Caenorhabditis elegans: one gene and its partner. The protein of the gene in region 2 purifies or fractionates together with the protein of the main gene of each other region. This does not show direct contact. Each region holds a gene or a part of one and is shown on either strand. Other genes may lie near its edges.

The links. Proteins that work in one complex are often made in the same cells at the same time.
Region 1: the proteins of cil-7 (region 2) and F45F2.10 fractionate together in Caenorhabditis elegans (co-fractionation; one large-scale study listed by BioGRID). This does not show direct contact.

Annotation. Positions count from the first base shown.
Region 1 is NC_003283.11:8,513,062-8,520,522, forward strand, and holds F45F2.10 (ANK_REP_REGION domain-containing protein), read right to left. Parts: upstream 5,704-7,461; 5' UTR 5,507-5,703; intron 5,287-5,506; 5' UTR 5,250-5,286; coding exon 5,060-5,249; intron 4,549-5,059; coding exon 4,271-4,548; intron 4,207-4,270; coding exon 3,794-4,206; intron 3,747-3,793; coding exon 2,828-3,746; intron 2,723-2,827; coding exon 2,474-2,722; intron 2,338-2,473; coding exon 2,287-2,337; intron 2,232-2,286; coding exon 2,011-2,231; intron 1,961-2,010; coding exon 1,851-1,960; intron 1,811-1,850; coding exon 1,299-1,810; 3' UTR 1,284-1,298; intron 1,238-1,283; 3' UTR 512-1,237; downstream 1-511. Other genes in the region: F45F2.9 (5'-deoxynucleotidase HDDC2), read right to left, coding at 1-41, 116-400; F45F2.11 (Protein kinase domain-containing protein), read right to left, coding at 6,285-6,492, 6,548-6,640, 6,684-7,174, 7,218-7,461.
Region 2 is NC_003279.8:4,986,351-4,991,416, forward strand, and holds cil-7 (CILiary localization), read right to left. Parts: upstream 3,105-5,066; 5' UTR 3,048-3,104; coding exon 2,997-3,047; intron 2,844-2,996; coding exon 2,658-2,843; intron 2,613-2,657; coding exon 2,467-2,612; intron 2,392-2,466; coding exon 2,079-2,391; intron 1,842-2,078; coding exon 1,699-1,841; intron 1,640-1,698; coding exon 1,444-1,639; intron 1,276-1,443; coding exon 1,108-1,275; intron 1,050-1,107; coding exon 606-1,049; 3' UTR 539-605; downstream 1-538. Other genes in the region: paf-1 (1-alkyl-2-acetylglycerophosphocholine esterase), read right to left, coding at 126-266; dyf-1 (Tetratricopeptide repeat protein 30 homolog), read right to left, coding at 3,350-3,670, 3,729-3,923, 3,968-4,103, 4,406-4,695, 4,739-4,927.

The DNA of each region.
Region 1 (7,461 bases), on a different chromosome or scaffold from region 2:
TCGCCAACATTTGGAACGAATGAAGCGATTGTATTGATAGCCTGAAAAGTGATTTGAGATATTTTTGAAGCAACTTTCTACAGAATTTTGATTTTAATCAGAATCAAGAAATTATCTTTTTCTCTAAATCAAATTTGTCTTGATCAGAAACTCCGCAATGTGGAGTGATATCCCCAGCGATAGCCTCTCCAATATCATGTACAAGAGCCATCTTCACAGTCCGAATTGCATCTAATCCATCAATTTGTCCTTCCAGTGCCATTGCGAGTACAGCCATTCGATACATGTGGCAGGCTACAGTTTCTGGTTCAGGAACTCCACATTTTACCCAGCCGGTTCGCTTGAGATGTTTCAAATTGTCAAGAACATCTAGCAATTCGAAGATTTTAACAGAAGACATCTGTGTGGAAATATGGCTTAATTGTAATAGAATCTTATAATATCTACGAGGTATTCAATAATTCGACTGAACAGCTAAAAAAGGTGACACTGAGAAAACGTTAAAGAAAATATTATGCAATTTAAGACGCGTTTATAATTTAATAGTCTAAAACTCTCCAGAAAGGTCTCAAGACTCAATACATACACAAAAGTATGAAATGAAATATAAATTGAAAAGAGAAATGAAAATTGGAGCGGAGTCGGCAAACGGGTGGAGCTTGAACTGGTTTGATGGTGTTCACAGGAAAGTGGGTATATATGCAACGGCAAAAGATAATGAACGGGGACACAATACAAAGGGATAGCCGGATTGATTTTAATTTAAAAAAAGTGAACTGGGAAAAAAGGTTAAACTATTACTAGGAAATAACGGAGTGTAGATTGAGACTTAGACGTTCTTAATTGAACCAGAAGAGTTATGGGATGTTTGGGGCAAGTTTAAAGAGAGAGAAATGGAAATTGAGAGAAAAGAAATAGGCCCGAATGAAAACAGGAAGAGAGCTTAACACGGGGAAAACATTGAGAAAAGATCTCGACACGAAAATTTGTTGGTTGCGGAAAACTTGGCAAAAACGATATGATTATATTGAAAGGATAGGCTGTTCTTACAGTAAAAAGATTAAAAAGTAGTTGATAATTACACAAGAACGAGGTGCATGAAGCGCGGAATAACAATAATACGAAAATAATTAAAAATTGAACGAAGGTTTTAGAAATTGAATACTTGTGGAGCAAAAGTGATTGAACCATTTGGATGATTGATGATGATAAATAAGAAATCCGTTTTTAATGACATCTGAAAATCAATGAATTGATTGTTAAATAACAGAAGCAAATCTTACCGTTTATATGATAGATCAATCAGTTTTCGTTTTGTTTGAAGATACCGGAGGCTTGTCAAAATCTTTCATAGAATTTGATGGGAAGCGGTGTACAACAGTCTTGTCCTTCACATACACCTGCGAACTGGATGAAGCCGAATTAGAAGAAGACACAGATGTTGTTGCTTCGCCTCGAACCGATTTACTCTTTTTCAAGGCTATAGCTGACTCAATATCAGCAACTATCCCACGAACTCGATTATCTCTCATTTCCACTTCATTTCGTCGTGCCGCTTCTTCGATCACCTTCTCGGTTCTCATTCTAGCGACTTTCTCGGCTATCATATCAGTTCTCGGATCCCTTGGTCTCAAGTTAAAAGAATTGGGAGAACTTTCGAAAGCCGGATTAATCGGCTGTGGTTGTTCCCGAACAACAATTTGAACAGCTTGAACCATGAAGAAACAATCTTTGAATCGATTTCCTTCAGTTTCCGGAATCGTGAGATTCACCGTGACATTCACTTGCTTGGACTTTGTCTCTAAATTATCTAAAAAATTGCGTAAATTTTCAGGGAAATGGAAACTTACTTGAAATAATTGGAGGCAAATTGTAAGCATATATGATTCCATTATGTTCAAATGAGAAGAATGGTTCCAGAATTTCTCGGCGATCGACGTTTCCGTCTCCAAAGCTAATTCTGAAATAAATTCAATTATTTTATGAAGGTTCCTCATATGATTAACATACGAAACAGATTCTCCAAGTAGTTTAATCGGTCGGCAGCCTTTTAAATCATCTTTGTATTCAACACGAACACCTCCACTTGCAATACGCTTCTTCTCTTTCGCAGCAATTCTTTCAGCAGTTGCAAGAGCATCAGTAACCATCGGAACTCGAACAATATGTGGGAAATTGGCAGGCATTGTAGTGTCAAATCGATTGTATTGACAAGGTATGAGGAAGAGAACCTGACAAATGTGAATATTTATAGTTTTAAGATAATTCGAAAAGAAAAAGACTTACCACTGGCTCTTCTTCGAATTCACTTCTCTCGATCACCATTTGGAATGATTTCTGAAAGAATTTCGAATAAAATTTATTTGTAGTATTTCAGAGTTATATAGAGTTATAGAGTTATAATAATTTCCAAAACTATTCTTAAAACAAAAAATTTAGACTAAATAGTTTTTTTTTTAATTTTCATACAAACCTTAACAAATGTACGATTTTGTACAACCACCAATCTATCTAGAATGTCTTGTCCGATGCGAACTTGATGAAGACCTGATTTTACAGAATGTACACCCAGCTTGACTCGTCCATCGGCGTCAATAATAATGGCTTCAACCCATGAAACAAACGAGTTGTTCAGAGCCCTCAAACGTTGATTGATAAATTCTCGTGCTTTGTACGAAATGCTTTTTGCTTGATAATCATGATATTCGGAGAGCTCTTTGTTCTGAAAAAATATTATGATTGCTTTTAATATCAATTTTAAATCTAGAAATTTATAGGTAAGTACTTCAAAAGTGTTGATATTTTTGATAAACATTTAAAAAAATACCGCTGCCTGTCGAGGTGTTCTTGGCTGAACATGATTCAGTGACAACGATCCTCCAATATCAGCTCCATGCCACATCAATTGTCGAGCAATCAGACTAGTGTGTCTTCGGATAGCTAATGCAACTGGAGATTTATGAAGATCATTCAGCTCATTTAGTGGAGCTCCGTTACGCAGAAGAACATCGACTTGGCACGGTGAACCTGTCATTGCAGCGAAATGAAGAAGTGTATTTCCACCAGAAAATTTGTGACTCAAATGTATATTCTTGTTGGCGGTCGTATGTATCAAGAAGTGAAGTATTGAGCATTTCCGATGCTTGTCTTCGTAACATGGTTTCTCTCCAGGACATGTTGAGGCAAGATGCATTAAAATTGAGCAGGCACGTTCCTCAGTCACATCGTCTTCAAACTTTTCGAGAAATAAATTAGTGCTCCAGTCAAGAGTTTGGGTCACAACATATGTGATACGAGCTTGACGAGAAAGAGAATCGAATCGTGGAAAACAATCACTGAATACATAGTTTTGTTTCCGACGAACGATGATTCGTTCAATTTCTCCAAATCGAAGAAGAACTTGTCGCAAATCGAGATCTCTCAGTGCAATAATCATATTCTTTTGAAATTCATCATCCGTATTTTCGATCATATTTTCAAGGGCTTTCTTGTGATCCATCATAATGGCAACATAGGTTTCATCTTGAGAAGTTTGATCCATGTCTGCATTGGAAACAAAATCACTCCGCCAATTGATTATTTTTGCTCCAGATTTCACGTAATCTGTGTATTGGTACTTCATAAATGGTTTTGCACCATTAATCGTCAAGGTGTGAGGCTCTGGATCTGGAATTCCCGATGCTGCTATACCGTATCCCATCCGATGAAGTGGTTTCAGTGCAGCTGGAAGGCCGGTGTAATTTCCACTGAAAAACAAAAATTATTTAAGATTATGAACAACTTGATTTCTTACATTGTATTAACGTTCCGTAAATATCTCATTTGAGAATTTTTATGTAGATCAGTGTAATGCATTGGAGGACCAAGTTCATCTTCATGGCGCAAATACGGAATGGCTACCGTATCCTGTCCGAGCATACTTTGAGCAGCTGCATTCGTTCCTCGAACCACCATTTCTCCATCTCGAACATTATCACCGGACCATTCATTGAAGTGATGAACATGAAGATTATTTCGCTCTTTTTCAACAACATATTCTATCGGATTTTTCGTGCGTTCTTTTTGACCTGGATAGATTGGCGCTGGTGCTCCGGAAATCTCGAATTCTTTCCTTTCGAGCTCTTTTCTTTGTTTCTTTGTCAATTGTTTTTGTTTGAAGTTGTTCTTCGCAGTCTTTCCATTTTGTTTTGAACTGCTACACGACGGCTGCAATTTTTTAAAATTAAGCTCTTTCTGACACCTGGTTCAAAAAATTATTTTCAATTCCTACCTGAGCAGGTTCTCTATTCGGATAGCTTCCAGAAGTTGATGGACCATCATCTCTTTCTTGATCCGAGATAGGAACTATGTGAGTGAATTCTGTGATTGGAACACCATGTACATTGTCGACAATTCGCACCGGTCTGTTCTTTGCATTTTCATCCATCAATTTCCGCATTTCTTCTGTTCTATCTCTAATTCTCACGGAGCAATTATTTCCCAAATCGGGGTGGCTGCTGCTGCTCCCTTGTACATTATCACCGCCAGTCATTGTACCTTTCTCGTGTTCTGAAATTTGGTTATGTTTATTCAGAAGAAATGGTAAAATTTGGAAAACGGAAATTTCCGAGGCGTCCATAGTGCGCAGAAAAAGCGAGGAGTTTTTCGTTTCGCTATTGATCAATTTCAAAAATTGGGCGTGATCAACCAATCAGAGCCTGCGAAATGTTAAGTTGAGCAATGTGAAAGCGAGTAAACTGTTCTCCGCACTATGGACGCCGCATGAAATTCTCGTTTTCAGCAAACTATTTGACAATTTTCGCGGTACCTCTTTTCCGAATTTTTTTTTCGAGGACTAATTTTCTTGATCTACTTCTACAAAAACAAGTTTCTTAAAGTTAATTTTTGTAGATCAAAAATAAATATTGCGCTGAAACAGGAGTTTGAATTGTCCGAAATTTTTTAAAAACTATCAATTGCGAAATCCCTCGCATTTCAAATATTTATTTCTGATGTTTTCTCATCGATGAAATCAATCGCTTTTGAGAGTGAACAGCTTCCTCCAAACAATAAATCCTACCAAATCCAATGGATCCGTCGCTATCTCCAGATTGCGATGATTGATCCGATGAGCTTCCTGATGTTTCGGAAGATGAAGAAGACGAGCCTCCACTTGAATCCACAATCGAATTCTTTCTTTTAATGACGATTTCTACTTCTTGTCCACTACTTCCTTCCTTTTTTTGCTTAGATTTTTTATCCTTTGGCATTGAACCCAACTGAAAAGACTGTTGCTTTTGACAGCCTCTGCAACAAATTGAGTGTGTGTGAGCTAAACTGTGATATACGAAATAAATATGGATGTGCGTATATGAGTGATAGAACCAGAAGACACTCACACTTCGCTCACAGACAAACACTCACCGAAGAGAAAAAGAGAATTAAAAATGGAGAGCGTGGAGGGGACGGCACGTTCGAAACGAGACGAGGGGCCCGCTAACAGAAGTGTAGGAAGAAAACAACTCACGGTGGCAGATAGAAATAACGAGAGATGGCGCCAGAGAAGTAGAGTGCAAATTTGCGACAAGATTTGGGGTGTGAGATTATTGAGCAACAATTTTATGATCCAACATTCAGAATAACTCGATTTGTTTTTCCATAAATTCAAAAAAGGCAATTTTTTAATTAATCTGACCCTCGTTCGGGAGGTCTAGAAATAACGACCTAAAAATACAAATTAAACGATTTTAAAGTTTCAGTTCAGTATATCCATTGAAATTTTAAATCATAAATTATTCAGTTTTTGAAATTTACCTTGCCTTTTTTTAATTTTGTGATTTCTATCTTTTTAATAAATATAATAGGACTATCGAAATCCAAACGAGCACAAAAAAAAATTTATAAGCAAAAAAGCATGAAGAAAATCTTATTCGTGTAGATCACAACGGTAGATAAAAAGGAAAAAAAGGACAAATTTTGTGACTTTGTCAAGGGAATGAAAGAAACAGGAACAAATGGAATTTGTAAAATTGGGAAAGCGAAGACAGAGAAAAAACAAAAGCATAAATACAAAGATTTTCAGAACATTTCCGTCGCTCACCGACAAAAAATCGTTCCAGACACGACGACCATTGTGCAGCCGGCTCTGCACAAACGTCGAATTCGACGAGCAATTGCGGACAAAGGAACGACTCTTTGTCGATTTACGAGAGATGAGAAGTTTCTTGAAATGTTATTTTAAAAATTACAGAAATTAAGGAAAAAATTAATGAAAAGAATTGGAAGATTAAATAATCATTGTCTTTCTAGACATCAGTTACTTTTTCGACGATAATAATATCGTTTTTGATTTGTTTTGCGTGGACTCGAGAAGAATCAGTTCGAGAAGGACGTTCTGGAGTAGACTGAAGATTTTTTTGGAAATGGATTGGCGAGATTGGAGAGGATAGTGACATCGGTGGTAATGGGATAGGCAACATCATCGGCATTGGTGGGAGCGAGTGAGGCTCACGGCTGGAAATATAAAATTAGTATTTAGCGATATTGAATTAGTAAATTACATGAATACCTGAAATGTGGTGATGGTGGAAAGAAGAATTGCGGTGGAGGAATAGGAGGACGACGGGCAATTCTCGGAGGAATGAATGTAGAAAGTGTTTTTCTGAAATAACGATTTAATATTCGATAACTACTTAAATTCTTACTCTTTATAATCATAATCTCTCGGAAATGTTTCATGTTTAAAATCAAGTCCTTCATTTTTCCTTTTTTTCTTCATTGAAAAAGTCGAAGATGTGAGCATACTTGCAACAATTCTTATCTTCCTCGTTTCCCTTCGTTCCTTATTTTTTCTTCTATTCAACGTTTGCACTAGCTTCGCACTCTCAGAAGCGTCTGAATATTCCCCTTCCGAGGATGATTGTGATGACATCTCAGTCCAGTGAGCTGCTTCTTCTGACTCAATGTCTCGGTACGGTTCAATTTTCGGAGGTAAATTCGGATATCGATCAGGAATCTTGACACCCATCTCTAAAAGAACCGAACCAGCGAGAGCATAAGTCAAATCAATGTATTGGTGAGGAGCCAATGTTCTGATCATTTCAATGTAGATGTGAGGTGGAGGAAGTGGTTGAAAATCAGCGGGACAAAAACGTTGGGCTCGTCTTTCCAATGAAGACGTGCTCGGAGACTTTGCCTGAAAATGATAATTACGATATCGAATTTCTGAATAACCTTACGGTTTTCGCTTGAGCTGCTCTTTTGACTTCGTCGAACGCATTGAACGATACGGCGTTACTTGCAGCAATCATCATGGAAGGAAGAGGTGGTGGTGGAAATGGAGGAAAAGCTCCCCGTTCACCGCGCTTATATTCTAACTTGAGCATTAGAAGCCTGTGATACCACTCCTTATGAGAATCAATTTCGTTTGGTGTGACGACTGGACGAAATTCACACTTTTCCTCATTTTCACCTTCATTTTCT
Region 2 (5,066 bases):
CCAAATTTAGCTGGCTAAGTCTTGAAAATCCTAGGTAATATTTTTGGGCCAATCTTGAGTAAGAAAATGGCGCCGAGAAATCACAAAAATTATTATAATAGAAGACATCGAATTTAACCAAAAACCTCAGAATCCGTTGGAAAGAACAATCTCATGAAAAGTCCCGAGCCAGCTGCTTCCTCAATCATAAGATCCATGCATCCGACTTTAAATTGCCCAGGCATCTTACGAGTAAGTATTTGAGGTGATGAGAGGTATCCACCCATGTTTTATCTGCAATTTTCAGTTTCTCTGTCAGTAGCGTGGCATCAACTTACAGTCAATTTTTAAGTTTCCTAGAGAAAATAAATTTGAAACGTTTGATGAAAATATTGTGAAATAATTTGTATCCAAGACATTGGACGGAAGTTTAAATAATGCCTCACGGTTTAAAACAATGTTTTTTTCAATAATTCTGACTGATTTTCTAAAATTTCTTTTAAAAAATAATTTTTGAGGCAATTCAAGTATTTTTTTTTCCATTTGAGAAACTAGTGAAAATGACAACTTTATCACACAAAAATAGGCTGTTAAATGAAAATTATCCCAGTGGCATCTTATCGTAGTCAATGATGTGCAGACTTCTTCTTTCCAGATTTGACAGGTTGCTCCAATGGAGGTGTTCCAATACTATCCCTCCTTTCCTTTCTATTTCTTCGATTTTTCTGCTGCCTCAACTTCAACTTCTCCTGTAATGCCATTGCTTGTTTCTCCCTCTGCAGATTATTCCGTCTTTCAAATTGTTTTCTCGTTTCATCATACTCATCCAACTTCTGCTTCACATCTCCAAATAATGCATCTTTCGAGGGCAGCGGAGCCAATTTGTTCAACGGTGTTACGATGTGCCCATCGGATTTTCCCAGGTCCAAAATTCCTTGAACATCCGCTTCCTTCAACTTCTCCACGTCTCGAAGAGCTTGTCGTTCCAGCTCTTTCAATTCTCGCTCCAGTTCATCATCTGCCACGTCATCATAATCAATTTTCATGTCGATATCAAGTTGTGCCTTGGCCTTAATATGAGTACAGTTTAGTTTTGTAATCCTTCAATTATTTTAAGCCAACACTTACCAATTTTTTCATCAAAGTAAGTCTCTCTTCTCTCAATGCCTTCTGTTTCTTAATCAACTCATTGTTTGCTTGATCCAAATCTTTTCGAATTGTATCATTTATCACTTTATCAAACCATTGAATCAAAGCGGCTACTTTTTGTTGAGTCTCTTGGAATACTTTTAGAGCCTGAAATAACTTCAATCACAAAGTTTTAACAATTTTCGTATTTTTCCTATTAGATATTCGTATTTTTTCAGTTGATAATTTCTTGATAAAACTAACGAGAGCCGAGATGTAAGCTGTTAAAGTAAGGCAAGGAAATGCAAGTCTAATAGAAAAGATTAAAAAATCTACCTTTTTCATTTCAGAATCATTATCCACATTGCGAAAAGCCTTGTTAACAGTATCTTCGAGGAGGGCAATCTCTTTTTCAGTTCCGTACGGAAAATCAACTTTGTTCAAGTACATTCGACAAGATTGAACGTTCTGCGCGGCTGCCACAAAGTTGTTCCGAGCTTCTGCAGCGGCGAAATAACGACCTCTTTCGTTTCTTAAAGTTACAGGTGATTATTTTGGTAGGTGGCCTTGTGTGTGCACATTAAAACATACTCTTTCTCAATTTTCTGAACATCTTGCCATCGATTGATTCCAAAAGTGAGTTGAGTGAGAGCATGGACAAGTAGAACTCTTCCATTTGCCCATTTGAACATGGCAAGGGAAACTCGCTGCTGCCAATCTACCATATCATCCACCTAAAAGAGCAAATTAAAGGTGAGCAGCCAAGTATTCTTCAAAAAACCGAATTTCTTAATGAGACCTCTTGAAAATTTCACAACAATTTTTTTTAATTTTCAAGAAAAAGGCAGAATTTTTGAGAGAATCTGCGGCCCTGATGGACATATCACAAGTTAACTGTAAAGGGTAATTTTTATTTTTGTCAGGAATGAAGTCGATTTCCAAGCCAATGGAATTAAAACAAGACGGCTTACCTCTCCTTCCAGAACATTTTCCTTTTCCGAAGCATAATCTGTTCCAAATATCGCTTCCAACATCTTATCCTGCTCTTCATATAATGCATTTAAATTGTCTGTTTGTTGCTTATAAATTTCTTGAATTTTGACAGCATTATCATAGTTAACTCTTGCAATGTTCAACTCTTTCTGAACTGTTTCCTGTCGAACCATTGCATCCTCGTATTCAGCTTTTTCTTTTAAATATCTATCATCCCATTGTCCTTGTTGTTTCAAATAATCTCTAACGGAAGGTTGTTCAATATTTTTGAGATCTGTTTTCTCTCGTTCTCTAAAATTATTAACTTTTTCTTCGGAAGTTCCAGTGGAAATTCGATATAATCAATAATAAATAATAAATTCATACGTCTGTTTCTTCAACTCTTTCAAAACTGCCTCCAACTGTTCAACTGTATTCTTCAAATTGTCTGCATAAATTGTTTGCGACTCAAACTTCTTCAAAACATTCTTCCGTTCCAAGCGATTTATGGCTTTCTCAATGTTGATATAATCCTGGAACAAAACACATTTTCTCTCAAGTCTTTTTTAAGAACTTACCTGAACAACTCCCTCTGTCAATTTCAGCTTTCCACCTTTCGGAACGGCATCAGATTCATTCGACGGAGTCACTTTGGCATTTCGTTTTCCAGTTCCTTTTTGTTTTGGTGTTTCACCTTTTGCTTCATCGTCACGAGACTTTCTTTCCACTGGATCAGCCCATTTTTCAACTGGTCCCGGTTTTTCCTCAAAATTTATATAGTTCTAAAAAGTCTCAAAAATTTCCTCAACAATTTCTAGTTGATATTCCAGGAAATTTTTCTTAAAGTTTTTCTTTCAAGTTTGTCATAAAAATAAGTGTGAACAAGTGGAAGCAGTTCTAAAAATTTTAAAATTTACCTTCCGAATGTCCTCCACCGGATCCGATCGCTTGGATGGTGAAGAGCCCATAATCAGCAAAAAAAAATAAAATACACCTTCAACTATTCAATTTGCTTGTTGTGTTCTTTTTGTGCATCTCCCAAAAAAGGTGGAGACATTCTCGGAGCCATGGAGATGTGCATGAAACCTAGGAGACGCCCAGCGACGGGCACATGAGGGTCCACAAGAAAAGGAAAAACTTTATGAATACGTCATAATACATATACATTTATATGAATGATATATACATTCGGATGTAAAGGAAATACTTTGCAGACATATTACATTTCTCACGAAAGTTCAATATTGGAGTGTTTAGGGGTGTTGAAAAATCAATCATTGAAAACCATTAACAAGGCCGCTTTGATCATCCTGGCTTCATATGTAACATTACATTTAACTTTTGATTCTCCAGCTTGCTCAAATAAGTCATCTGGAACCGTGTAAATATTACGTCCAGGAACTTCACAGCTGGTTAGAAATTGAATAACTTCCATGACAACTGAATCTCTCATCACCAACAAATTCTTCGCCATGAGCTCAATAGCAGCCACTATACATCTTTTTGCGTAGTACCATGTATCGACTCCCAGCTTCTTCTCAGGCGGTTCTAGTGCCTTGACGACGCGGGAAATTCCGAATTCAAAGTTACCCTGAAAGATGGAACAAATTAAAATATGAAAATGCACGCGTTTAACAAAATCCCCCCACCTTACTACAGTACAAACTTCCAATAACCAAACTAATTATGGAATTATGGAAGAACTTCTCATTAGGCTTCATCATTAACGCAGCTTCCTCTTCATTTTCTACAGCTTTCAGAATAAGTTCAGCTTCATCGGTTTGATTCGTCATAATGTAGCAAACAACTAAGTTGGCAAGAATCATGGCAGGAACTTCCAAAATCTAAAATAAAAATTTTTAACTGAGATTTCCAAATAAGCTCTTACTCCATCGTCATATTTCTTATGAACAATTGGTTCATAAAATGCAGCAGCGTCTTTATATTTCTTTTCCTGCATGAAGATTGTGTGAGCCACATTCAATTTCCAAGTGTCATGCTCTTTACAGTAGTCCACGGAATTCCTTCAAAAAATGTCGCTAGGTAGGCAAAAAAAAGCCAACCTTTGTTAATGGGGTTTTGTTAAAGCTTTAATTAAAGTTCAAAACATCCAAATATCATAATGAAACACTCTAAAAATTTTCAGCCAACGTTTTGATAGATTGCCAATTTTTCAACAAAAAGAAGACATTTTTGAGTAACTTACAGCAATGTCGTATTTTCGAGCCTAATTAATGTTTAGATTTGAAAAAAATGTTAAACAAAATTAAAAATAAAACTCGTATAAAATATTGTTTTTATCGGCCCATTTTTACAAGCCTTTTACCTGAAAAGCTTCTCAACTGCTTGATAATCTCTTTTGTCCCAATAGTATTTGGCGTAGGTCATCAGTACAGGAAGGTACATTTCCAGTGAATCATCGTAGGATTCAATAAGATTTCTCATTTCTAAAGAATCATCGCTGTCCGTAGTTTTCTGCTCCTTTTTTATTTGAATTTCAATTGCAGTTTTCCGGAGTCGATCGAGACATTCTTTTTCAAGTTTCTCTAACTTCTTCAAACTTTCTTCTGGGTTGGTTGGCATGTAGATCAGAGCTTCGAGAAGGTTGAATTGATACTTGAATATAGTTATATTAAATTAAACTATAACTACTGCAAACCTCATTAAGACAATAAAAAGTGTGACTTGGATTTTCAGCAAGTACGTCTGCCGCTAAGCCGAAATAATCATTCTTGCAATAAAGAAACAAAAGATTTGCAAACGTTTCTTGTGGAAATGGATTGATACCGAGTAGAAATTGAAGCTTAGCCGAGCTGTCTCCAAAATCACTGTTTGCATTGCTAATTGCCTGAAATTTACAGATTTGGGGTTATTAAAAATGTTTTTAGGGATTTTGGCTAAATGTACTGAAAATTCACCAATTAGAAGTATATTTATCTAGTTGCAACACTCTAAAAGGTGTTAGAATCTTCAATATTTTGGCACAT